7 linked regions of the Kluyveromyces lactis genome follow. The protein of the gene in region 1 interacts with the protein of each later gene in a pairwise test. Links are inferred from orthologs where the notes say so. Each region holds a gene or a part of one and is shown on either strand. Other genes may lie near its edges.

Region 1 (2,864 bases):
TGCTAAAAAACACGATGTGTCTACAGCACTATGTTAACGTACGTGTTATTGGTTTAGTCGATTGATGTATGGAAAAAGGCTCAACGGCTAATCTACAGAATTTTCCTTTGCAATATGTAGAATATATATATATATGTATATATCACTGCGTATATATATACTAATAACATGAATGATGGGATATGTGTAAAAGGGTGATAAGAGAGTAAAGTGGAGATAAAGGTTTGAAATTGAAATTGTAGCAGCCCGCTTGACATTCGACAAAGAAATTATGTTACAATATATTAGAAAGGTATAAAGGAAAACGTTCTAGCTCAGCAAGTTTTTCCAGTAATATATCTTATACTTTATGTTTGAATTTAATAGTTTATTTTTTTCTGGTTTTTTCATTGGGGATTTTCTTTGAGATGGGATTCGTTGTTTAAAGGGGGGGGAGAGATGAGGATGATGATGATGATGATGATGATGATGATGATTAAGAAGGTTTAAATTTAAATTCATCATTTCTTTCTTCTCACTACGTTTCGTTCCAATAACTTAGAAGCTGGTTTCAAGATTTGGAACGAACATAATAAACTTTCATCAACAGACATCATAGCACCAGCGTTATCGAACTCACCACAGTAGTTTGGAGCACTGAACAATGTTACCAATTGTCTTTTACTGAAAAACTCGTATCCGTCTTCGACGACTTGATGTGCTCTACAGATCAATTCCATATCTTGTTTTTGTAAAAACCTACTCACTACGTCAGGACCAAAAGTGAACGAGACACCTCTATCGTTTTCTGACCATCCAACGATATCTTTATCCGGATCGGACCATAACAAATCGCATAATAACCCCACGTCTGGGATATCGGTGGGTCTCATCACACGTCTGATTTGTTCCATGGTATTTAAATCTGGGGATAATCCACCATGCATACAAAAGATTTTTTCATCGACAATCGCAGCGATAGGCAAACAGTTGAAACAATCCGTAAAAGTTTTCCAAAGCTTAATGTTATAACGTCTCTTACATTCGTCGTAAAACCCGTAAATTCTATTGATCGATGCACATTCGTGATTACCACGCAAGATAAAGAAATTCTCCGGATACTTGATCTTGTAAGCCAACAGTAAACAAATGGTTTCTAGCGATTGTTTACCACGATCCACATAATCACCTAAAAACAGATAGTTGGATTCTGGTGGGAACCCACCGTATTCGAAAAGACGTAACAAATCATAATATTGACCGTGGATATCACCACAAATCTTAATTGGTGCCTCCAATTCCAATAGGATTGGCTGCTTGATGAAAATAGATCTGGCCTTGGAACATAAATACCTAATCTCGTGTTCTTCCAAGTCAACCTGATGGCCAGGTTTCAACCCTCTCACTTCCAACAATCTATCAATGATATCGTCAACGTCTACTGATTGTTGATCCATTTTTCTTATTTTATTCCTTGTTCCTTTGTTTTATAATTATCGCGGTACTATATCAAACGTTCTTAATAATTGAAGTAACCGATGGCAACTGTGATGCTTCCGTGTCTTGGATTATCCAAAAGTATTGGTTCTTATTAATCCTTATTTTTTTTTCCTAACGAAGCAAACAGATTATAGAATATAGCCCGCAACTTTAAAAGATAAAAAAAGGTACTAGTAGAAATTACCCTGGTTTGAAGATGCAATATTGTCTCACTTCCAATTTCTACAAACAAACAGACCCTGCTGTATTCTTTCTAACCTTCGTATGAACGTAAGTCTCTCAATCTCTTATGTTTTATAATTATCTTTCTTTAATAATATTAATTTTTTTTTTTAATCAATTGATTGAAAGAAAAAATAATAGAAAAACACACACAGAGTTTTAAAGGAAAAAAAATAGAATTAGAAAATAACCCGAAAAACGAGATCTACACCGTTTCGTATTGTGTTCAAACCTGTCGCCAATAACCACACACTGACCTGACTCGAGCTGGCGCCAATACTGATGATCTTCCCGGAAACAAATGGGAAGGAAAACACTGAAAATACCGTGTTTTCCCAATGAATAAAACACAAGTTGTAAGTAATGCCAAAAAGCGTTACCGAAAGTTTTCAATTCTCAATTTTCACTTTTGTTCTCCTTCATATGGGAAAAAAAGAAAAGAAGTCGCAGTGTCAGCTTGGTATCGCTTCGCATTGGACTGGAAAACCAACTGGGGCTAGGGATGGGGCTAGTGCCCAGTGTTGCCTTGCCAAGTGTCGTATATGTACTATTTAGTTATGGAATGGGTTGTGTTCTGTTTTTGTTTGTGAGCGGGAGGGTGCTAGGTATTTCAGAGATGTCGGGTTTCGATGGCAAAGATGCTACTACTACTGCTACTGCTGCTGCGCAGCAGCAGTAGCAGTGTCTATATTCTGCCTAGCATTTCGCACCGCAGCTCGCGCACGCAGCCTCTGACATTTACGTCCCTTGCCTTCTTTGCCTACTTCTCTTCTTCTCTTCTCTTCTCTTCTCTTCTTCTCTTTCCACTCGTTTACCATATTTATTATTAGAATCAAGATGTAAAGAGCTGGCAGGCTGCAGTTCGTTACATTCTCCATTAGGGATACATGAAAAAATACATATAGTAAATAAAACAAGGGCGTACAATAAGCTACCGCACCTTGCTATTTCGGGCAACACCAAGGCATAGAATCCGTTGGTTTGGATGTGTTCTCACTTCGTTGGTTCTGCCCTACCCGATAAGTTAGAGAAATGATGTATAGTGATGATATAGGGGAGACCAAAATGAGGGAAAGAGGGAAATCGTTATGAACGAAACCAGGGTAACAATGAGCGATGACCACGTCTCCCAAGGTTGTCGTTTTAGGATATTGAACCAGGAA
Region 2 (4,122 bases), about 930 kb from region 1:
GTTACATATAAAAGCAATGATACAGAAAGATAAAGTTTTCGTGTTTGATACTACAAATCCTGACGCCGCCATAAAACTTGGTGTGTTAATGTATGACTTGGAATCAAAACTATCTCAAAGGAATATCAATTACCAAGGGAAATCTGTCTCATACCAGGAAAATTATGAACATAGAGCCCTCGAATCAATACTCATAAACGTGATGACCTGTTTGGAAACGGAATACAAGTATCATCATTCTGTTTGTGGGATGATATTGAACGATTTGGAGAATCAGATTGACCGAGACAAGCTTAGAGATCTTTTGATCAAATCCAAAACTTTGACTGCTTTTGCCCAGAAGAGTGTCTTACTACGTGACCTTTTAGACGAACTTCTAGAGTCAGATGAGGATTTGGCCGGAATGTACCTCAGCGAGAAGAAGCATCCAGATGCTGACGACCATTCGGACCTTGAAATGCTCTTAGAGACATATTACAAACAGTGTGACGAATATGTGCAACAATCCGAATCTCTCATTCAAGATATCAAATCTACCGAGGAAATTGTCAATATTATTCTAGATGCCAACCGGAACTCATTGTTGCTATTCGAATTGAAAGTTACTGTTTATACGTTAGGTTTTACGGTGGCCACACTTGTTCCGGCATTTTATGGGATGAATTTGAAAAACTTCATCGAAGATTCAAACTGGGGATTTGCCAGTGTAGTTGGACTGTCAGTAGCAGCTGCAGCAGTTGTAACTATCACAAATATGAGAGCTCTAAGGTCAGTCACAAAATTGACACTATTGAATAATCATACCGGTGCTAACAATAAAAAGCATTTGGCAAATGCTAAGTTAGCTCTAGACAAAGAAATACCTACATTCTGGGATAGGTGGTTAACGAGTGCAAGGGTGTTATGGTCTGGACGTGAAGTATTGTACAAAGATGGATCAAAGAGAGACATGATCTGGAAATGGTTAGTAGATGACGACAAGAAGTGAAAAATCCGTATAGCCACATCCTGTAAATAGATAATTTCCTGATCGCAAGCAAGTTATCTCTATTTTTTAAACATTTTTATAGATTAAAGCAATAACTTTACTTGTGATACAAATATCATGAGTTTTATGATTACCTATTTGCGAATTCTTGATACATCTCTGTCCATCTGGTTGGTATCTTCTGCAACGTCAAAAAAAAAAATAAAAAGGTTTCTTAAAATTCGCCCAACTGAAAAGAGACATCGTACTCGGCAAGACTTGGCTGCAATTGAAGCAAATATACACCATTCGCTGACTTATCAGAAGGTATATCTACTTTGGGACCATCGAGAACTGCAATAATTACGTTTTTTTCCAATTATGCTGGCGAAGGCGGCAGCTAGTGCTTCCTCATCTATGGAAAAGGGTAGTGTGTATTTGGATTTTACAGATATAAAATGCATACAATATACATCATCGATACGGAAACTCGAGCAACTGGTTCACGTCTGTAAAGTGTTGCTTAGGAATTTGTCAATGAAGAGTAATGAGAATCTTATCCCCTTGTCAAACATCGTGATAGCTCTTGGTTCAGGGTTTCAATTTAATGTATCTGCGGCCATAGAAAAAAGGATCGAACTACTCTCACAATTTAGATCATGTAAAGCCAATGCTACAAATCTGCCATTGAGCACCACTTCTCTCAAACTAGAGGTTGACCTTGTACCGGTGGAAGAAGACTCTGTCTTGTTCGTCAGTAAATTCTACAACAAAGAATTACAATCGCAATTACTTACCACGTTACAACGAGTAGCAGAAGATTCACTTCAGATATACCAAGCAAGAATTAGGCAACTGACCATGGAAAGGAACTCAAACAGACCTACAGACCTATCTGGAAGGACAACTATCTTCAACGAAGATGCGCTAAACGATCTTCTTTCACCAAACGAGTTAGCATTCGGACTTGACTTACTTGTTAATATTAGGAATAGATCAACCGATACAAGCAGCTCTGCCTTCTTTGCTTTGGCTTTACCAATCTTAGAGAAATTCAGGTCTAACCTCAATGATAAGTGCATACCCCCTATACGATCATATTACACTAGTATAATGAAATTCAGCCGAACAAAGGGCGTTTTCTCGAATAATGTTCTCATCCAATTGCCATACTGGCAGTTTACTTTGCATAGGATGTATGCTGCATCTCTTAGAGCAAAATGTCTCATCGATGTGATACGGGCTGTATTGAGACAAATTTACATTCCAAATAAACATCACTTCCATGATAACACTACCAAATTGCATTCAAAGAATCTACACGAATATTCTGAGCTATTGGAAGAGTTAGAAACGTTTTGCTTCACACAGGAACTTGAAAAAGATCTTATAGAGGCCTTTAAGTCATATGGAAACCAGAATACTGTTTATCAAGTTCAGTTTAACAACATCTCATCAGCATATCAAAGATTGTTGTTAAAATCTACGCAGATGTTACGGAAAGCTGCTAAACTCGTTGATTCGTTTAGCACCCAATGGAAAAGTATATCAGATAACATGAAAGCCAGCAAATATGACGATATGAACATCGATGAGATGGCAAAGATGGCGGAGGAAAAGTTAGCTGTAGATGAACTAGCATACAACGAAAAAATAAAGGAACAAGAAAGACAAAGGGAGGAAAAAAAGAATTCCAGTCTTTCACAAAAAAACACATCATCTTCATCTTCCATAACTTCAAATTCTTCCTCATTAAACGTTTCTCCAAATATTTTATCGCCTTTAAGACTGAGCCGGACATCTTCAGTTTCGCGGTCAGAAGAATCAAGGTCCCCATCATCACCAATACCTTTCACTGATGCGAAGTCTAATATATCGGCTAAAAAGACCAGATCAGTCAGAACAAGAAACAGATCGTCATCATTGCAATCAGTATCAAGTCTTGAAGATACTTCCACTGCTCGGAATGGTATGAGATCCAATTCTCTTCAATCAGGTTCTCTGAATACACAAAGAATTGTACAGAATGCATATTCAAAAGCATTACTCTCGTTAAATGAGAAAAGAGGCCCAAGACTAACACCAACAAAGCTGAATAATTCTATAAGATCAAAATCACCTTCTCCAACTGTGTCACGGCAGAATTCCGTAAAACAGAGGAACAAAGTGAACATATTGAAGCTAAATGAAGTAGACGAAGATGACATCAATGAGAAATTCCACGATCTGAAGCTGGACGATGATACTCTAATCGTCTCTCAGGAAGTGTTATCTCCAGAAGGTAGTGAAACTCCTAAGATCATAGTTTCTGTTGCCGATGACAATCAGTCGTCTTCAAACAACGACAGCGAAGTTGAAGGTATTGTGAAAAAGGTGAGATTTATAGGGGTTCCGCCTATGTCACAAGATGAAAACCCTGAGCCTAAAAGACGCGGATGGTACAAGAAGCCTGCCGTGTTGCATTATCCACCTCCACCTGCACAGCACTCACTTCAAAAATTCAGAACAACTCAAGAGGGTCTTGCATTTCGCACAAGTTTGATCTCCAGAGACCAAGGTTCTGATAAAAAGTTCGGTTTTGACAGCATGTACTCATCAGGTCAAGGGGCGGATACTAAAATAGTGGGTAAAATCAAGGATAAACTGTTTAAATAGAAAGAATCTTTTAATTTCTATTTGCAGTGAACTTATTTCCATTATAATATCAACTTTTAACAATGTATTTGAAATTTAGAGAAAATATTTAACTATTGAACATTCCCATAATTTATAAAGTAAAGTAGGTAAGGCTTGAAACATAGGAACAAACCTGTTATAACACCACTAGAACGGTCTGACATGTCATTCAGGACACTCAGCTCATTGCTACCGAGTCCGCAAAACTCAGAAGTCTCCGAGTCTTCAGCATTTTCTAGACAATCTAAGGAAAACATAAAGGATACAATAATATTAGACAAGCTACGACCGGAGAATCTACCAGTGGCCTCAATATCTGACTTTGTACCTCTTAGACAACGTGATATATCACTAGAGGCACCGTTCCCATCGACATCACAGATTAATCAAACATATGTAAAGACTAAGGCGTTTCTAGACTCGCTGCTAACGAAAAAGAGCTCTCTACAATTATCGTCTATTGCGAACAAGGACATCGT
Region 3 (3,887 bases), on another chromosome or scaffold:
CTATGAATTCTATCAAGAGAATGAAACTGGATGGGAAGGATATGTCGAACTTTGATAGCTCTTCAAGAAGATTATCTCAACCACAACCCCAATCCCCATTACAAATCGGTTCTCCATTGGAAGCATTGCTCTCGAAGCCAATCCCGTCTCCAAAAATCACTGTTTCTATGTTGAACAACTCAGTTGCATCCCCTCCTCCGAACCCGATGGCAATGTCACCTTTGCCATATATTTCAGAACCTATTGAATTGAATAACAATGGCAACAGTATATCTGATGGTGGTCAACGTAACGTAAACGTTGAACCTTCAAGCTCATTGAACCATGTGGAAAATGCGTCAAATGTTAGGTCAAATGCTCAGACTACATCGAAGATTAATTCATTGGGTAGCAATGAAAAGGATGAGCTCCGTAACGGAAACGATTCAGAAAATGAACCTAAGGTAATGACAAGGAATAATAGCAAAGGGAAAAGAACAGGAAATCCTAATATGGACATCAAATACAAGCTCTCTCGCGATAATAAAACAATCTGGGATTTATACAACGAATGGTATCATGGCCTAAACGGCAAACTGTCCATCAAGGAATTGATTGAGAAATACGGGTATAGAAGGTGGAAGGTAACAGAGGACTCTCATTTCTTTCCAACGAGACGTATCATCATCGACTATATCGAAACTGAAACTGACAGAAGTATTAATTTGAAGAGGTTTAATCTCAACAGTCCTCTACTAAAGGACAGAGACGCTGTTAGAAAACATATTGTGAAAGATTTAGAAACTTTCAGGGAAGAAAACGGCCTAACTTTGAATTCACTTTCTTTATATTTCAGAAACTACACTAGATGGGGCAAAGAAATATGTATATATGATAACTTCAAAGACTGGTCACTTGTTACCATGAATGAGGAAGAAAAGGTCAAATACTGCAAACGTAAGACATTGTCCTCAAAAGAAAATAGGGATGATAATTACTCGCAAGATGACAATGAGTGATTGATAAACATGAGATCTGAAAACAGACTCGGTTGTATTATAATATAGAGGTATATAATTCCAAATTTTTATTCTTACATGGGTTTAAGAAGGTCCTACCTCTGACAGGAATTCGTATCTGCATATGAGCTTTAGAGGTGTGAATTCTCGTAGTTTGGCGGGCTTCTAGTATATTATTATCCCTTTCCCGGTGTTGTTCTTATAAGTTTGGACTAATTCCCTTATTTTCCACCAAAATATCGCTTCAAAATTGAAACCTTCCAACATAGGAAAATAAGAGCAAATCGTCAACTTTGTCGTTGTTAAAGGGAACAACAGATAAAGAGGGTCTGGCGAAGTCAATTGTATAGAGAATCAGCACCATTAAAGACTAAATAAGGCTGACATACCGTGAGCGATGCCACACGACCACTTTATTGTCCCAAACAATGTTAGTCTAACCCAGGCGTTATCATTGTTGCACTCTATCGTCAGTATTCAATTAGATAACTGCAAAGAACAGAAAGCGAAGGGTAGCAAAGAGGAAACTGTTGATATATTATGTTCCATTCTATCATATCTTCGTGAGGGTTTGATATCGATAAAGAAGAAGTTCAATGTGGTGCATTATGGTGATTTGAAGGACCCTAATGTGGTTACAAAATATGCCGATGTTAGAATTTTAGGCCAAGAGATCAAAGACATGTGCGCAGAGTTAGAGAGCAAGTCACAAGATAAGCGAGATCCAGACTGGCGATCGAAATTGAAGATGAAATTCATCAAGAGTAACGTCAAACAGGATCAAGAAAGGGCGTTGAAAGAAAAGGAACAAGTTGAGAAATTGAAACAAGAAAGAGATAGAATTCAACGAGAAGAGAAGGACAAAGAAGCAAGACTGCTGAAGAAGAAGGAACAAGAGATAGAGAAGCAGGTAAGAAAAGACGTTCAGGAAGAGCTAAGGAAAACCAAACTGAAGTCCACCGATACCGCTGAAAGAAATGTGCATGAAACAATGATGCCGCCTACAAGAAGATCAATGGATCAATTGACTAGGAAGGCTGAGACGTTCGGTAGAAGAAGCCTGGATGGATTTGGAAGACGAAAGTCATATCAGAATGAGGTGAGAACTGTGAGTGCCTCCTCCCCAAATGTCAATCAGGCAGCCTTGTTGGCTTGGAGTGGACAATCCAGCCAAAAAGTAGCACAATCAAAACCAAAAGCTAAACAGACATTTGTGTATACGAAGCCTACTGTACGGAGACCTGTTATTAAGAGTCCTGTAAGAACATCTCCAAGAATTCCCGTTGAGGTTGCATTTGAGACACCGATCATTGATAGAGAAAGAATCAGGTCACCTGTCTCGAGGTCGGTCCCTCACAGTAGATCCACGTCTGTTGATAGAAAAGGTGGACAAGATTTATCACTGGAAAAGTCTGAAAAAGCCCTGACACCACTTGAAAAGAAATTGGCACATATCATGGATAATTTAGAAGGTGTTGACGAGAATTCATGCCTGCACATCATTAATGATATATTGATCGCTGATGAGAAAGTATATTGGGATGACATCTCAGGGCTTAACACAACGAAAAGCGCGTTGAAGGAAACTGTCGTGTATCCTTTCTTGAGACCTGATCTTTTCCAAGGTTTGAGGGAACCTGTATCAGGAATATTGCTCTTCGGACCACCTGGTACTGGTAAGACTATGATTGCCAAGGCTGTGGCAACGGAATCCAAATCAACGTTCTTTAGTATCAGTGCATCCTCAGTACTTTCAAAATTTTTGGGTGAATCCGAGAAACTTGTACGTGCACTTTTCTACCTATCCAAGAAACTAGCTCCTTCTATCATCTTCGTCGATGAGATAGACTCTTTGCTTACGACAAGAAGCGATAACGAGAACGAGTCCTCAAGAAGAATTAAAACAGAATTTTTGATTAGGTGGTCATCGTTAACCAGCGCTACCGCATCTGAAAAATCCGAAGAACAGATGGACAGCTCCAGAGTACTAGTCCTTGCAGCAACAAACACACCCTGGGACCTTGACGAAGCTGCCAGAAGAAGATTCTCAAAGAGAATATACATCCCATTACCCGACTACGAAACAAGGCATTACCATTTGAAAAGACTCATGGCAGTACAAAGAAACCAACTCACAGAATCAGACTTCAACGAAATCGCCAGACTTACAGAAGGGTATTCGGGCTCTGATCTAACGTCTTTGGCGAAGGATGCAGCAATGGAACCCATAAGAGACCTCGGGGAAACACTAATAAATGCAAACCTCGAGTTAGTTCGAGGCGTTACTTTACAGGATTTCGAAAGCGCAATGACAAGAGTGAAAAGAAGTGTCTCGACACAATCACTACTTAGGTTCGAGCAGTGGGCGCTCACATACGGAAGCACTTAATTGAAGATCTATCGCAGAGTTTTTGACATCGTCGTTTCCCCAGATTTAATTCTTCTTATTCCGGTGCCAATAGCGTCATTGAGCATTTTTATGTATTCTTCTATGCCCCAGGAACAATTTTTCATTTTTCATTTTTCATTTCTCTGGTAGTAGAAATCAATAACGAATTTTTATAGTTTAAGGAAAAGACATTACCTTTTCTAGTGAAAGAATGTTTGTAACCCCACTCAGGTTTTGTCATCAGAATACAAAGTGTGTTCAATAACAATTCAGAGTGGGAATTGCTGTTCGAGTACAAGAAGTTTATTTTAATTGCTATATCTATTAAGTGCTTCTGTTTCTCTTTCGGGGCTTTATTTGAATGCAAAGAGTTGTTTACTATACTGGCAACGGCTTAAATAACGGGAATAGTCAGTGGGTAAGTAATTGGTTGCATCGTAATAAGGGAACTTCTAAGTACGTTGGATTAGGATTAGCAGTAGCGATAACTGTTTATGTTT
Region 4 (3,962 bases), on another chromosome or scaffold:
TCAAAAGAATACCTGCAGTACCTCTTAACTGATCCATTTCCTCAAGATGAAGTAAAATGTAACATAAATAATTGGCAAACTGTGGTTCTAATTTGAATGTTTCCAATGCATCGAGTGCTTGCTGTCTCTCATCAGAATTAGTTGAAACAGCATGTTGTAATGTCAAACAAAGTTGAGTTAGTCCTTCGTTATCTGGTGACCATGGCATACTGGGATTCAAGGTTGTTTATGGAGTCTCCACGGTACTGACCACTTCCTTATCAGCAATATCCGTGCTTCCTCCTGCTCAAATGTTTTTAGTGAATTTGATATCTCTGCGATGAGCTAACAAACCAAAAAAAAATTTTAAAGTCTAATGCAGTACTGCGGTCACGTGTGTTATTCTTTCGGTACTGAAACAGGAGATGAGCACAGACAGATTACTGAAGCAATAGTGATTGCTGTTGTTGGGTTATGTCTCTATAAAAGTTAGCTACATAATGCGTTGAATGGAGGTAATATCAGTTTGAGATGGCGTTTTCTATCTTGTCCATCATAACATCTATTTTGCTGAAAATAGGGTTGTACAAGGAGTTAATCACTGGATGATAATCCCCTACTACACCAGTGCTTGTATGCAATGCTACTTCAGAAATTAATGGAGAGTTGTGTTCATGGTCCATGCAACTTGAGGCTATAGAGGATGGAACGGTGCTGTAAGCGTTTGTATTTTCATCTGGTAAGATACTATTTTCTTCATCAATATCAATAGTTTTTTCTGTCCCGACAGAACTGTTGATATCTACAGCATTCAGTGTAGATATCGAATGCTGGTGATTATGAGTTACTTTTGGCAATGATTCACTATGTTGCAGAGAATCTTCATCATGAAGAGAGTTCAAATCAGGCGCATCTTGCGAGCTTACAATTTTCGATATATCTTGAATAGCTCTGGAAGATGGGATTTGATCATTCAAATTAGACTTCTCGAATTCCTTTTCACTTAGCAACTGAGGTGAATCATTTGTCCAGTCTGAAGAGGAAGGCGAGTATTCTCCGATTGTAGATATGGAACAATTTGAATTTGAATTTGTCATTTGGGAAGTACCTCTTGGTGCTGCTACTGGCATAGTGGGAGCTTGAAAGACTTGTTTTAGATCATTTTGTTTCTCTGACAACAGATCCGTCAAGGCAGGTTTTGAAGGTCTATTTTTTTGCACCATTAATGGTGCCATTTCATGGACATTGAAGGCAGCATCACTTACAACTTCGCTTACATCATCTGACAAATGATCATTCAGAAGGGTTTCATGTATTTCATCGACATGTGTTAAGTGAGTTCCAAGATCTGTTCCCAGGTGTAGATGCCCGTCTTGCCCGTCTCTTGATTCCACATCATGAACGTATTCTCCTGCACCATTCAGTTCTCCGCTGTCGTCCTCCAATGGTTCTTGCTCTATTTCATCAATATATCTTTCAGCATAACTGACAACATTATTGAAGCTAACCGATTTATTAGTTTTTGAGTATGCGTTCAACGGGGACTCAACTGCCTCAATACTATCTTCTTTGTTCAAAATATTCGATTCTTTGCTTGAATTTGAATCCTCTTTATGAGAAATTGAATGTGATGATATATTTTCGTTTTTCCAACAGTTCAGTCTAGCTAACCTTTCAGGAAACGTTTCAAGAAGTTCTGCAGGCGCGAATCCTATTTTCCCATCACTGCAACGTTTAACTAACCACCAATAAGAGTCCTGGTCATTCAAAAGAGTACAACCTTCGTCCTGTTCCAACTGGCAATGTGATGGATCAGGTCCCTGGAACGGGTATAATGCATATAATTTGCTGGGGTCTAATTCTTGCGGCGGATTTAACGGCTGCAGCTCATCAGAATCATCAGATTCATTAGTGTTCCAACCTATATTCAAGTCCTCTTCGTCGTTGTCATCTTGTTCTTCTGCCTCATCATCGTCATCATCAATATCGTCATATGATCTCTGCTCCAATCCGTTTCTTGCTTCTTTCGCACGATCTGCCACCATGTTATTATCAATAGCACTCGATGTATCGTTTGCAACTATCCCTTTCACAGAAGAAACATGTTCTCCGCTGTTTCTTTGAGAAGAAGTCTCTAAACTTCTTAACCGCTCCTCCAAATTATCTTCAAAATCCGAATCTGAATATGCATAATCTGAATCCTGCAGCTCGTTCCCATGTCGCGAACTGAAACTGGTATCATGCTCATTATCGATATCCTGTGCTAACTCTTCTTCTCCTTCTTCTTCTTCCTCCTCATCTTCCAACTGTAAATCACCGAGATCCGGGACACCTTCATAGTCAACTTTTTGACGATTTACGTCATTAGCATGTGCTTCAGTCGGCGTTATCACAACACTAGCATTGACACTCAGGGATTCCTCGTCCTTCTTGAGGCTTCGCATCTGTTTCATGATTTCATCGAAATCCTCAACCAGTGTAGGATCAGTTAATATCGATAGATCAGGTTTTGATCGTTCCCGTGATCTTAAGCCAGAGCCCAGACCTGCGAGTCCTGACATCTTAGGATACTCCAAATCCATCATACGATACAACTCGAGTGGTATAATAGCAGTTAATGCACAGATAGGATTCAGAGATGGAAGCTGATAATACTTTTCTCCAAGTAACGCGTGTATAAATATATCTCTGAAACCTCAGTGGAAAATGTTGCACCAAAAACAAGAGAATTAAAAGCTGTTTCAAGCCTCTTAGTGCTTTATCCAGAGCGGAAAATCCCCCTGAAAACCCTTCTAAAATGGTTTGTTGCGCCTTTTGTATAGGTGCTAGCTTCGATAAGTCGAACGACCTTTACTGTACGCTATACACCTTTCCCTCTCTGTCTCGTTTCATGTTCATTCTCACTAATTCCACCATATCTGTATCTCTAAATGTATATCACTAAAGACTAACGGCTGTGAATGTCAGAAACTTCGCTATGCGAAAAAGGAACTGATGCGAAAGAGAAACCGAAATATATTTCATTACCCGGATTACTATTTTAGCATTACGTGGAATATATCAGTCACGTGTTTAAATGATGATTTTTGACTTGACATATCTCGATATATTTCGATATTACTTTCCCTCGAGACATGAGAAATAAAAAATTGAAATGCGATGTATATAATGAGATGAGCCAGCTTTGTAAGTACGTGTGCAAATTAGGTGGTTGCAAAGCGGTATAATCACTTTTTCACTTAATATTTGATAGATGTTAGAGAACTATCACATCTAAGCATTAGCTGATTCACGTACTATTACTCACTCGCTTCCGACTATTACTACTGCGGAGATTGAAATTGAAAAGAAAAAAAGGGATCATCATGAACACGACAAGCATCACTCAAACCAACTTGGACGGTATCCTACCATTAGTGGCTAGAGGTAAAGTTAGAGACATTTACCAAGTCGATGATCAAACTTTGTTGTTCGTCGCTACTGACCGTATTTCTGCGTACGATGTCATCATGAAGAATGCAATTCCAGAAAAGGGTATCTTGTTGACCAAGTTGTCCGAATTTTGGTTTGATTTCTTGAAGGAAGATGTCCGCAACCATTTGAAACCATTAGGTCCAGGTGAAACCATCTTTGACAAATTACCTGCAAAGCTTTCAGAATCTAAGTACAAAGTTCAATTGGAGGGAAGATCTTTGTTGGTTCAAAAACACAAATTAATCCCATTAGAAGTCATCGTTCGTGGATTTATCACAGGATCTGCCTGGAAAGAATACAAGAAGACCGGTACTGTCCATGGTTTACCACAGCCAGAAGGTTTACTGGAATCTCAGGAATTCCCATCTCCTATCTTCACTCCTTCTACTAAAGCAGAACAAGGTGAGCACGACGAAAATATTTCTCCGGAACAGGCAGCTCGATTGGTCGGTCAAGACTTATGTGACAGAATCGAGAAGTTGGCTATAAAATTGTACACAAAATGTAAA
Region 5 (3,769 bases), about 920 kb from region 1:
TCAACCACGTCAAGAAATCAAAGTTTTTAAAAGCTATCTGGATACCTGGACCGGAACATTGCGGAATCCCATTATGCGCCTAAGATTCCTTATTACAAAAGAGTAATTTGGGAAGTTTAGCGATGAAATAGACACTTTGGTTTGTATATAATAGCCACTTTTGAATGTTAATGTAATTTAATGCAGTGTCCTATCTTATTAACGTAGTGAAATGTGAATTGAGGTGATTCGTCCCCAGTACTGGTCAAAAAGAGCCCTGGGATTCCTTTCGCAGCAGTGATCTTTCAATTGGTCACGTGATTAAGATGTACGTTGGGACTTACCATGCATTATTGATCTACAATACTTATATGCAGCGTTACCTCTATTTCTTCCCCACTTGCCATCTGGAACAGGTGAATATGAAGACTAGGGTTGTCTTTAAGTATGTGTTGCGAGTATTTCTATATCGTTTTGTATATATTTTCGACTCTTGCGCTATGTGGAAGTTTGGTTACATTTTAACGTCTCCCATCGTATGAGTATGTTTGATTCAATTGATCCACTTGCTGCTGCAATGCCTTTAAATCATCTAAAATGTTGTCTGACTGGGAACGTGCTGGTCGTGGACTGACAGCATTTGGTCGCACTTGATAATTGAGGTTAGAGCCACACTCTGGAATATGCTGCTGGTATGCTGCGGATAAATTCACGCCGTTCGATATGTTCTGAGGTTGAGGAGACGATGTGGGCATCATTGGTGGTGAAGGGGTTATGAGTGAGCTGAAATATCCGTCAGATGATAGATTGGAATGGGATGAGAGTTGAGGTTGAGGTGATGTAACCAATCCACCTGCATTGGGCTGCAAAAACTGGCCTTGATTTGGAGGCTGAAAAGCATTAATCGATGGTCGTGGACTGAGATACTGCTGTTGCTGTTGTTGCTGAGATGGTAGAGCCGATTGGAACGGCTGAAATTCTTGAAGATCTTGAAATTGCTGCTTCATTAAATAGTTTGCTGAGCCTGTGGATGTTGGTTTCATCGCCTCGGTGAACTGTACCTTTCTTTGTGGAGGCACGAATGGTGCAGTACGCCCCTGCTGTGGCAAATGCTCCGCAGGTTTGCTCCTTCTGAATATATTCTTGAAAATCTCGTTTGCTGATCCAGTCGCAGTAGGTTTTAGTGGTTCCAGGATATGGTTGTCGTTTTTGTTAGCATCTATATTGTGAGAGGGAGGGACAGTCTGTCTGAACAAGTAGTTTGCAGATCCAGTTGCTGTTGGTTTTAGTGGTTCAAGAGCCTGCTCTCTCCCTGAAGAATTAGAAGATTCATATGAAGACATGTTGTTAGGGAGCTGTGTGACACTATCAACTTTTTGGATCTGTCTGAAATGGCTCAATGAGTCCTTCATATCTTCTAATACTTCTCTTTCTTCTTGTGTCTCAGGCTGAGTATCCGAGGGTAATTCCTTCACTAAAGCACTGTTATTTCGATTTCTTGAAGATAATTTTGCTAGCAATTGTTCCATCGGTAGTGATAGGTCCAAAGTTGAATCATCACTAGGGCTAGACTCAGTAGACGCTGCGTTATCAGGTGCAGTGACAGCAGGTTTGCCAGACCTCGAGATGCTGCTCATTGCCTTGGTAGATAAATCGTTTGCGAATGTAACCAGATTCTTGGAGAATCGGACCTTCTTAATCTGATCTCTACGTTTCATGATTCTCCTTCTGATATTCTTTTGTATTGCTTTCCCTGTTAAGAGCAAAGATGCAAATCCATCAAAGTCTACCTTTTTATCAGTAGCGTTGTTTGGGTCTTCTTCCACCTCCTCATATACTTCTTGACCAGCATTAGCAGATAAGATGGATTTTGGTCTTAACACAGGTGCCTTTTCGGGAATCATGCTTCGGGTAGGTAGGAAATGCTGCTGTAATCCATGAGCAACTAGTCTAATGATGGCATAAAACTGCTCTTCATTTACAGCGTATCTACATGTTCTGAATATGTGTGTAATCCTTTCTTTAATCGTGTCGTCAATCCTGAAGTTGGCTAGAAAGTTAAACACATCGTCCAACGTTATTGGTCGCGAATGAATCCTGGAACTTAGGTCTCTAAACCATCGCAAGTAAGCTTTTCGTTCATCAGGAGTGAGTTGGAATTCTGGAACTGCTAGCGGTACCTGTAACTCCTGAGCAGTTTCGACATACGACGAGGCAATATCCGATTCTGAATGGGAGTGAAGAGCTCCGTCTATTGTGTGCGACTTCGATTGCGAATCCTGAAAATTACTTGTAGATCCTGAAACAGTAAGTTTATTGCCCTCACGTCCCCTCAGTGATTGTTGACTTTGCGGTTGTTGCAGATTACTGGGTTCCTGAGGTCTGTCTGCTGTAGTGAAACTGAATGACACCGCTGGAGGCGGTGATGAACTTGATACAGAGGCCTGTGAATCATTGGAAATATCTAACCCTGGTACATTCAACCAATCAAATGACATTTTGCACAGTCACACACTCAGATAGAATAGGTGGAGTTTCGGTTGTTTGACTTCTTTCTTCAAGCCATCCATCTATTTATCATTTTGATGAGACCTTTTTTGTTTTGATTCATATCAAAAGAACAATTTTTCAGCTTAGTCCTGCAAATAATTGTTTCAAGGTACCGCAGAAGCGGGGGCCTCATAGTCATGAAAAGCTGTGGATTCTGGCTGATTAAGTGCGTATTGATAGTTTGTAGACGTTTATTTATGTTAATAGGAATGCTTTACGAGTAGGTTCTAATATATTCAAGGATATGTTAGAAAAGTTAATAATATTACATCGGATAGGCTATACACGGTTATTAACTATCTAAATTAATTTAAAGTCATCAAATTGCTACATTGAATGCTCTCTTGCGCTGCGCATAGTTATCACGACAGTCTGACCCAATTGTAGTGTTGACTTTAAGAGATTTGCCATTAGATTTGATACTCTTGTTAGAGTCCAGTCTTTTTTGTTTAAGTTTACGTGTTTTGATCTTAGAATTAGAAGACGAAAGTTTTTCTTTTCCGTTGCCAGTATCGTTCACTGCTTTTGTTACTATGTCAGCAATTATATCATTGCTTACATTATCAATGGAAGGCAATTTGTGCTTAGCAGCAAGTTTCTTGAAACTTCTATTCTTCTTTTCTTTCGACTTCTTGCCGAGTTCTGCGTCAATATCAAAGATGTCATTTTCCTTCAGATACATTACTTCATCGCTCATGATTGATTGTTTCTTTGGTTTTCCATCAGGTGTATTACCTCTGATATAGTCCGCCATTGTCATGACTTCATTATCAACCAATCTGAACTTAGCTTCCTCCATAGCTCTTAAATAAGATTTTTCAATTTCGTCAATCTTCCACTTCGTATCTTGAATTTGCATAGCTAGAGAGTACCTTAAGAAATCTTTCGAGTACCTTTTGTTATATTGTCTGAAAACGGACTCACGATGCCTATACGGAAATTGAGAAACATCCACAGCATCCGTCGGTTCGCCTAAGTATCCATTGGTGATTTTAAGGATATCAAGAATTCCAAGTGATTCACCGTGTGGTATAGCATTTGGGTTCGATGGTGTGATACAGTCCATGTCAACCTCTTTTCTCATAACTCTATCAACATCAACAGCAGAAAAGAATGCACAATTCTGGGGCAAATCGTTGATACACATTTGCTCACTGAAATATGAACGTGTCCACAAATTCGATATTTGTAAAGCTAAAGTTATTCTGTACTTGTCCTTTTCAGATACTATGTATCTAAT
Region 6 (3,350 bases), about 1.4 Mb from region 1:
ACATTTGCTTTCATGTTCATTGGATAACACCATCAAACTCTGGGAAGTCAGTTCAGGTAGATGCATTAGAACTCAATTTGGACATGTTGAAGGTGTTTGGGATATCGCTGCTGATAACTTCAGAATTGTCAGTGGCTCTCACGATAAGAGCATCAAAGTTTGGGATCTTCAAAATGGTAAATGCATACAAACTTTTACAGGACACAAGGCTCCTATTGTATGTGTAGGAATTGGTGACAGTTCATTTGTTAGCGGAGACGAGCTGGGCGAAGTGAAAATGTGGCATTTTGATGATATTTGAGAGCCCTGTCGTAGAACCATTGGCATTGTTGCACCGATTACACTATAGCTAATGGTACAGAAGTGAAGGAACAATTGTGTTCAACATCTTCAAAACTAGCATAACTAAATACAAAAGTTTATATTGTAACTTATTTCTAGTCTCAACTGCTGCCTAAATACAGAGGCCACATAATGCCATTCTTTTTCGAACGAATACATTACTCAACGATCAGTTTCTGAAAGTTTTATCGTGCTCGGAACAATGTTTAAAATCAATGTACCTACCTGGCTTCATTAACCCCGAAACCATCAACGTTAAAAAGTCAAATGTCGAGCATGCGAAGTTGTGGAATTCGTCATTTAATTCGACCGTCGTATATGCGCGGAATCTAATTATAAGATCGCACCATAATGATTAAGATGATGAGCCTCGTTGAAACGTAACAGCGCACCGTTTTCTTCTTCGAAAGCCAAACTAACACATCTTCCATTTTTCATTGTCAACATGACCGTCTTTTGGTTTCCAGATTCTCACCAAACAGCTTAGAAAATATCGTAGTAGAGAAATGTGACTGGGAATCCTTGAAAAGAAAAGGAAAGGAAATAATAAGAAAAAAAGGGTTGTCACCATGAGCAGACGTTTTCATGCAAGGTATTAATGTTCCTCTGTTTTTAAGACTTCAATCATACATAAGTCGGGTGAGCCAGTGGTCGAACAGGTTTGTATTGGGTACTTGGTGTTTTATGACCTTCGAGTTAAGAATAAAAATAGTCTTGGTGTTTTCTACTCTGTGAGGTTTTGTTTTAAATTTTGTTGTTTTAACTTTTGATCGAAGATAAACCAGATATATAACGAGCTACCCCAGTTTGCTCGCATTTTCATTGCTTTATCATCCTTAAAGCATTTAGCATTTCATATTGGGCAATAAGCGCTAGTGTAAACAATCACTTTTCGATTACTAGCGTATCTTCCTGATAAACGTATCAAGACACTAGTTAAATAATTGGAGATAAGTCAGAATAGATTGAGGCTATCTAAATAGAAGAAGAAATCTACTATGGTCTAGCGAGATGTACCAACGAGATGCTGTACAGAATTTACAAAGCGGCAAGTTTAGCTCTTTGAATTTTTTGAGGAAACCACAAAGAATTTCCTGCCAGGTCGAAACAACAGCCATGAACGACGCTTTGAAACGGAACACAGATCTGAATAAAAGTAAAATTATTGTAGATAAAAGTTTACAGGATTCTCAACATGATGAACACGATCCTGTGGGCAATGAATTGGCAGGGCGGCTCAACGAGAAATTAAATTTCAATAAAGATGCGGACCCATCAAAGAAGGAAGATTGGGATGTTGAAACAGACCCATTGAAGAAAGAAGCATGGGAAAGCGAAACAGACCCAAGCTTAAGCATGCAAGACTACTTCCCTGTATCGAAACCAGATGTGCCTGAAGTTGAAATCAATAACAATTCCAACGATGACAACGATGACGATGATGATGAACCAGAAGACAGGTATTTGGATAGTAGAAAACTTAGCGCTATATTCAATCCACCCTCAATATTACTTACACGAAGCAAATCCCTACCAACTTCTCCACTAGAAGGTAGGGTAAGCCAGGAACAAAGACCTCCTGTTTTCAAGAGGTCTAAATCGGTTCATTTTGCTCAAAGTGAGAAGTTTGAAGTTAAATACTTTAGGGAGGACGAAAGTCCGTTATTCTTAAGAAACGAATCAGGAGAGTACGGTACGAAATCTGGAAAGTTAAGGAAAAGCAGACGCCATAGAAGCCGAGAGGCTGTTGCCAAAGTTAATGGTGATGATGACGACGATGATATGTTGAATATGAAGGGATCAAAGAGGTCCTTGGAATTGGTAAATGGAAACTTGATCCTTCAAGCACAAACTCCAAAGTTATTACGATTAGATGTATTTGGTGTAAGAAAAAATCAGTTCCAAACGTTTGCCAATGGTATATATAATTCGATGAACACTCCAAATTCTGGATGGTCAAATTCTCTTCACTCTAATAATGCACCTTTTTGGAAGTATAGTCATGGTATTAATGATAATGATGATAATGATAATAACAACAACAACAATAAAAATGAAGATGACGCTAATACTACTGGCATCCCAAACTTTGATTTCAGCTCTCCTTTTAATACAAATGATAGCTTTAAAAAAGAGGCAAATTTGGGAACCTTTATTTGTCATTTACAAGACCTTAGATTGGACACACAAGGGCACATGTTGATTGGTAATGTCATTGTACGAAACATATCCTACGAAAAGAGAGTTATTGTACGATACACCTTAGATTCCTGGAAATCTCAACAGGATGTTGAAAGTGTATGGATAACAAACCATTGTAACCTGAAAAGTGGTACAGGAGCTATCGATATCGATGTCTTCCAATTTGCCATTGATCTCGGTAAAATCAATACAATCGAGCACATCGAAATGTGCATACTATACCAAACACGAGAAGGGTCTTCATGGATCGATCATTGGGACAACAATTCGGGCCAGAATTACAAAGTCAGTGTCCGAGTAAAGTAACATATACCCACTCCGTGACACTCAAATATGCAATATATATGAAGACACATCAATTATCAGAATTATTATCAATATATATATAATTTTTCATACCACACAAATAATGTCCGAGCGATACATGTCATTAACAGTGACACTCTGTGATGATATATCTAATAGTGTTTTTAAAGGAAAACACTATGATTGGATTCATGCATTTTAAACAGTGGTCTATGGCGATCGCCGGCTTAGCGCTGCTAAACCCTTTTTGGTTCCCTAATAGAAACTAGTAAAAAAATAGAACGTTCGATGAGGGATCTGCACGTGATTATGTGTTCTAAAGGTATTCCAGTGAGAAAACGTTAACCAGATTTGTCGAGAATAGGTGTGCCTGGATCGGCATTTCCCATTTTGCCCGTTCTCATCTAATCCTAGCAACCCAGGAAACGATTGCTTTTTTTCGATTGAAAGAACAGCTCGGAATCGAAAGGAACTTGCAAGAATGAAGGAAAGAAAAAACA
Region 7 (3,694 bases), on another chromosome or scaffold:
ACCGAAAACAGATATAACTTCAATGATCAGCAGAACATTATCCCGCGTTAATTCGATTGTAGGAACATATTCGAAAGACTCTATATTCACTTCCATTCTCTGCGAATTGAAAGCTTTACAGAAAGCACTAGATGAGCTCAATGGTAAAATGCAACCTATTCCAATCAAGAGCTCTGCAAAGACTCCTGAACTTCTACAAATGGGAAAATCCCCTCCAAAAGTCGCATTATCGAAGGAATATGCTTCAAATTTACACGAATCAACAGAGGACTTCCCTCTAAAGATAAACAAGACTGACTAGAGACCTATTATTGATTCGTCTCATATTATTTTTAGTGTTTTGCCTTTACAGAACAAGGTTTACAATATAATTGTTTGTTTAAATAATACTCGCATCGTCAATTATTTAAACTATGCAATAGTGATCGGCTATAGAGTACTGCATGATAAAGTCACATCCACTATGTGCAGTAAGAATCCTGCACTTGATTACTAAAATTTCAAGATCTTTTGCCGGTCGAATTTTTTGCATCATCCCTGCTAATATTCTTTGAATTATCACCAGCAATTACTGGAATGTGCACTTTGCCTCCAGTTGCAATGCCTAGAGTGGATGAGGATGTGCCAAAAATAGATGATTTCTTTTTTGTACCTGTCCGAGACGATTTTATAGTAGAACCTTTTTCTCCTTCAGGACGATTTGCACCAGAATCGTTGGAAACTATGTTTTGTTCCTTTAAATTATCTGGTTTAAACTTCTTTTTTGAATGATGTGCGGAAGAAGAGTCTCCATCTCGTTTGTTCACATTTTTATGGCCTCTAGATGAGTTAAAGCTATCATATGGGTTATAAGTATCCAAATTGGCAATATAATCGTGGGATCCTTTGAAACGCTCAATTGTATCTTGAGCGTATCTATCGCTTGGATTCAAAAAACCGGGACACGCCAATTCGAGACAGTTTCTTTCTTTGGCATCCGAAATTAGATGCTTCCACAATTTGTTATTGACTAGCGATTTATGATGCCCTAGAATCCATAGACTACATTTGGCTCTGGTTAATGCAACATTCATACGTCTAAAATCTTTCAAGAAACCAACACTTGTACTATTGTCATCAGCACGAACACATGAAATAATGATGATATCTTTTTCTTGCCCTTGGAAACCATCGATGGTGTTAAAATCGATGTACGAACGGATTTGATCTCCGAAGTAGCGCCTAAATTGATTCCTCATGTTTTGCATCTGCTCACGATAAGGAGATATGATACCAATTCTATTTGTAAAATCATATTTTGATTCATAAGTAGCTAAAAGGTTTTCAACAAGCTCAATGGCTACCTTTGTTTCTTCAGGATTGGTATAGGACATTGTTTTAGTATTTTGCTTTTGTTTACCAGTAACGATGTCAAAAAATTTGTACGGACCAAACGGATATTTCTTATGCCAATCTCTTGTATTAACTTCTTGAACACTACTTCCGTCCTGTAACTTACCTTTGTAGAACTCTAATGAGGGGAATTTACTGATAGCAGGGTGCATACGATACTGAACATCTAACAAATAAGGACTGCAGTTTTTCTGCATCCTTACAAACAAGGATTGATTGTATTTCATGTCACTAGCAGCACCAGATAGGACTGTCGGAGGTAATTGATTAGGATCACCAACCATGATACAGCGTTTACCACCGTATCTCAATGGAATGATACTAGAAAGCTCCGTACATTGACAGGCTTCATCGATAATGATAGTATCAAACTTGACACCTAGGGATGCTAAGACATCATGAGCAGACCCAGATAATGTAGAGCATATAATATCTGATTCAGCCAAGATACGTGCCTGAGCCTTTCTTCTATTTTGCTCCCTGTTTCTGTACTTTAGAGAATTGGACTCTCTAATTTCATCTTTCTGTTTACCCATTTCGCTGATGAGCCTTCTCAGATCTCTAATTTCCATTTGAATGTCTGCAATTTCATTAGATGACAAAGAACTATTTGGGTTACCGTCTTCTTTATTTAACTTAGCTTGCAGCATTTTACGCTTCTGTAGAGCGTCTTGAAATTTCTGATTTAATGCAGAATCTTGGACCATCTCATAATCACTACCGCCTAGCTTTTTGTCAACTTTTTCTTCAAGGGTTAAGTCCTTGACGGATTCATTTACAGCATCGCTCCTACCGATACGAACAATCTCCGGTCGGAAAGTGTTTCCAGAATAATCCAAAACACCCTCTCGTAATCTCAAGACCAACTCATCAACAGCAGCGTTACTAGGTGCACAGATTAATACTTTCTGCCTTTCCAACAATTGTTCTGTTGATGTTGTATTAGTTGGCGTGATAATGGTATGTGTTACGGTATTTTTAGAGTTTGTATTCGCTTTTGAAATGAAGTATCCGACAATACTCAAGATAGTTTTGGTTTTACCAGTACCGGGAGGGCCTTGAATTAGTGAAAAACCTTGGGTAGTTACCGTACTCAAAATTGCTGTTGCCTGGGATGTATTTAGGTGGAAGTTTGCTTTGATTCTATTAACTTCAGTGCTACTAATATTCTCTGGAACGGATGGTTGAGCTTTGAGTATTTGTTTTAAGAGATCATAATAGGGCAAACCTTTTAAAGATGTGTATTCTCTTTCGACTGTGGTCATTTGCATGACTTTCAAAGCATGAATTTCAGAACGTAAAGTTAAAAGATTTGAGAATTTATGACTGCGATGAATCCTGAATGTAAGGTCCATATTTTCACCTTTCGAGTTCTTTATCTCTTTAATTTTGGCTAAACAAGTGTGATTTGATCGTTTGAATTCTTTATCTGTCAATGGCTTTGAAGAAGAAGAGTCGGGGAAATAGCCAAGAACAATTAAATCCGAGTCATTGATACCTGTGTCACGAACAACATTTTTGTTGATTGATGCATATACCTCGTAAAAGTCAGAAACAACCGTCCTATTTCCTACAATGAAACTAAAGCTTTTCTGTTCTTCCCTGTCTCGAGCTGAGCACAATCCCTGCCAACATTCTAGCAGCAAAAGCGGTTCCATGACTTTTTGATAATCAGAGACCGATGAAAATGAGTCCTTCACGTCAGAGTAGGATGTTTCTGTATCGGTTGGGTACTCACTGGTTCTTTTGTAGTCCCATTTCAAAACTTTCTCGTAGAATGGGGCCAAATCAACATTTAATCTTTGCCTCATATTCTCTTCTTCTAAGCGACGTAAATCAGTTGGGGTCATTGACTTTTTGATTTCTTTACCGTTGATGTCAAGCAGACCTGGTGAAAAAGCTTTAGCTTTAGATTTCGCAACAGCGAAGAGCTCGGCAGCATTTTCGAAGTCACTTTCATCCTCGCTACTGCTATCCTCTTTCTTCGGTTGCAATGTTGGTCTTGTATTGAAAACTTGACTTTGAGCAGGATGAATTACACGCTTTTCAATAAGCTTTTTCCTTTCCAGTTCAAATCTAGATAAGGGCTTGGGAGCAGGCGCACTAACAGTTGGCGTACCACCTGGTTTGAAGAAACCATATGATGAAAGGGTTGACTGACCCTTAGGACGAGAAAGAAGCGATGAACCTATATTTGCCTTTTTCAACATTGAATCAGCACGCTGGCCAGAAGTCATGGATGGTTTATTCGGTTGCTGCTGAACAGTAGAGATGGTAGCTTTTGATTCCTGTAAGGATCCAG

The links.
Region 2: the proteins of GLC7 (region 1) and GIP4 interact in binary tests that used the Saccharomyces cerevisiae proteins (3 or more experiments, as listed by UniProt). The link is inferred for Kluyveromyces lactis from reciprocal best matches to the Saccharomyces cerevisiae genes GLC7 and GIP4.
Region 3: the proteins of GLC7 (region 1) and YTA6 interact in a two-hybrid assay, tested with the Saccharomyces cerevisiae proteins (2 studies listed by BioGRID). The link is inferred for Kluyveromyces lactis from reciprocal best matches to the Saccharomyces cerevisiae genes GLC7 and YTA6.
Region 4: the proteins of GLC7 (region 1) and BUD14 interact in binary tests that used the Saccharomyces cerevisiae proteins (3 or more experiments, as listed by UniProt). The link is inferred for Kluyveromyces lactis from reciprocal best matches to the Saccharomyces cerevisiae genes GLC7 and BUD14.
Region 5: the proteins of GLC7 (region 1) and SCD5 interact in binary tests that used the Saccharomyces cerevisiae proteins (3 or more experiments, as listed by UniProt). The link is inferred for Kluyveromyces lactis from reciprocal best matches to the Saccharomyces cerevisiae genes GLC7 and SCD5.
Region 6: the proteins of GLC7 (region 1) and KLLA0_F27533g interact in a two-hybrid assay, tested with the Saccharomyces cerevisiae proteins (3 studies listed by BioGRID). The link is inferred for Kluyveromyces lactis from reciprocal best matches to the Saccharomyces cerevisiae genes GLC7 and GIP2.
Region 7: the proteins of GLC7 (region 1) and SEN1 interact in binary tests that used the Saccharomyces cerevisiae proteins (3 or more experiments, as listed by UniProt). The link is inferred for Kluyveromyces lactis from reciprocal best matches to the Saccharomyces cerevisiae genes GLC7 and SEN1.

What each region holds. Positions count from the first base shown.
Region 1 is NC_006042.1:1,158,118-1,160,981, reverse strand, and holds GLC7 (type 1 serine/threonine-protein phosphatase catalytic subunit GLC7), read right to left. Parts: upstream 1,437-2,864; coding exon 501-1,436; downstream 1-500.
Region 2 is NC_006042.1:225,725-229,846, reverse strand, and holds GIP4 (protein phosphatase regulator GIP4), read left to right. Parts: upstream 1-1,348; coding exon 1,349-3,622; downstream 3,623-4,122. Other genes in the region: MRS2 (Mrs2p), read left to right, coding at 1-988; mRNA splicing protein PRP45, read left to right, coding at 3,806-4,122. UniProt on the Saccharomyces cerevisiae protein: GLC7 phosphatase-regulatory protein involved in GLC7 subcellular redistribution and chromosome segregation.
Region 3 is NC_006041.1:2,081,615-2,085,501, reverse strand, and holds YTA6 (putative AAA family ATPase YTA6), read left to right. Parts: upstream 1-1,395; coding exon 1,396-3,387; downstream 3,388-3,887. Other genes in the region: transcription regulator GCR1, read left to right, coding at 1-998; putative ubiquitin-specific protease UBP16, read left to right, coding at 3,749-3,887.
Region 4 is NC_006039.1:388,414-392,375, reverse strand, and holds BUD14 (protein phosphatase regulator BUD14), read right to left. Parts: upstream 2,565-3,962; coding exon 501-2,564; downstream 1-500. Other genes in the region: KAP104 (Kap104p), read right to left, coding at 1-208; ADE1 (phosphoribosylaminoimidazolesuccinocarboxamide synthase), read left to right, coding at 3,345-3,962. UniProt on the Saccharomyces cerevisiae protein: Important for bud site selection. Seems to be a regulatory subunit of the BUD14-GLC7 type-I phosphatase complex. The BUD14-GLC7 complex is necessary to regulate microtubule dynamics at the cortex and may function as a specific activator of the dynein complex.
Region 5 is NC_006042.1:234,572-238,340, reverse strand, and holds SCD5 (Scd5p), read right to left. Parts: upstream 2,478-3,769; coding exon 501-2,477; downstream 1-500. Other genes in the region: KLLA0_F02610g (uncharacterized protein), read left to right, coding at 1-83. UniProt on the Saccharomyces cerevisiae protein: Regulates both fluid phase and receptor-mediated endocytosis. Involved in vesicular transport at a late stage of the secretory pathway. Regulates actin cytoskeleton organization.
Region 6 is NC_006042.1:2,548,104-2,551,453, forward strand, and holds KLLA0_F27533g (CBM21 domain-containing protein), read left to right. Parts: upstream 1-1,353; coding exon 1,354-2,850; downstream 2,851-3,350. Other genes in the region: ubiquitin-binding SDF ubiquitin ligase complex subunit MET30, read left to right, coding at 1-301.
Region 7 is NC_006038.1:494,497-498,190, forward strand, and holds the end of SEN1 (DNA/RNA helicase SEN1), read right to left. Parts: coding exon 501-3,694; downstream 1-500. Other genes in the region: ATG23 (Atg23p), read left to right, coding at 1-301. UniProt on the Saccharomyces cerevisiae protein: ATP-dependent 5'->3' DNA/RNA helicase required for the expression and maturation of diverse classes of non-protein-coding RNAs like precursor tRNAs, rRNAs and small nuclear (snRNA) and nucleolar (snoRNA) RNAs.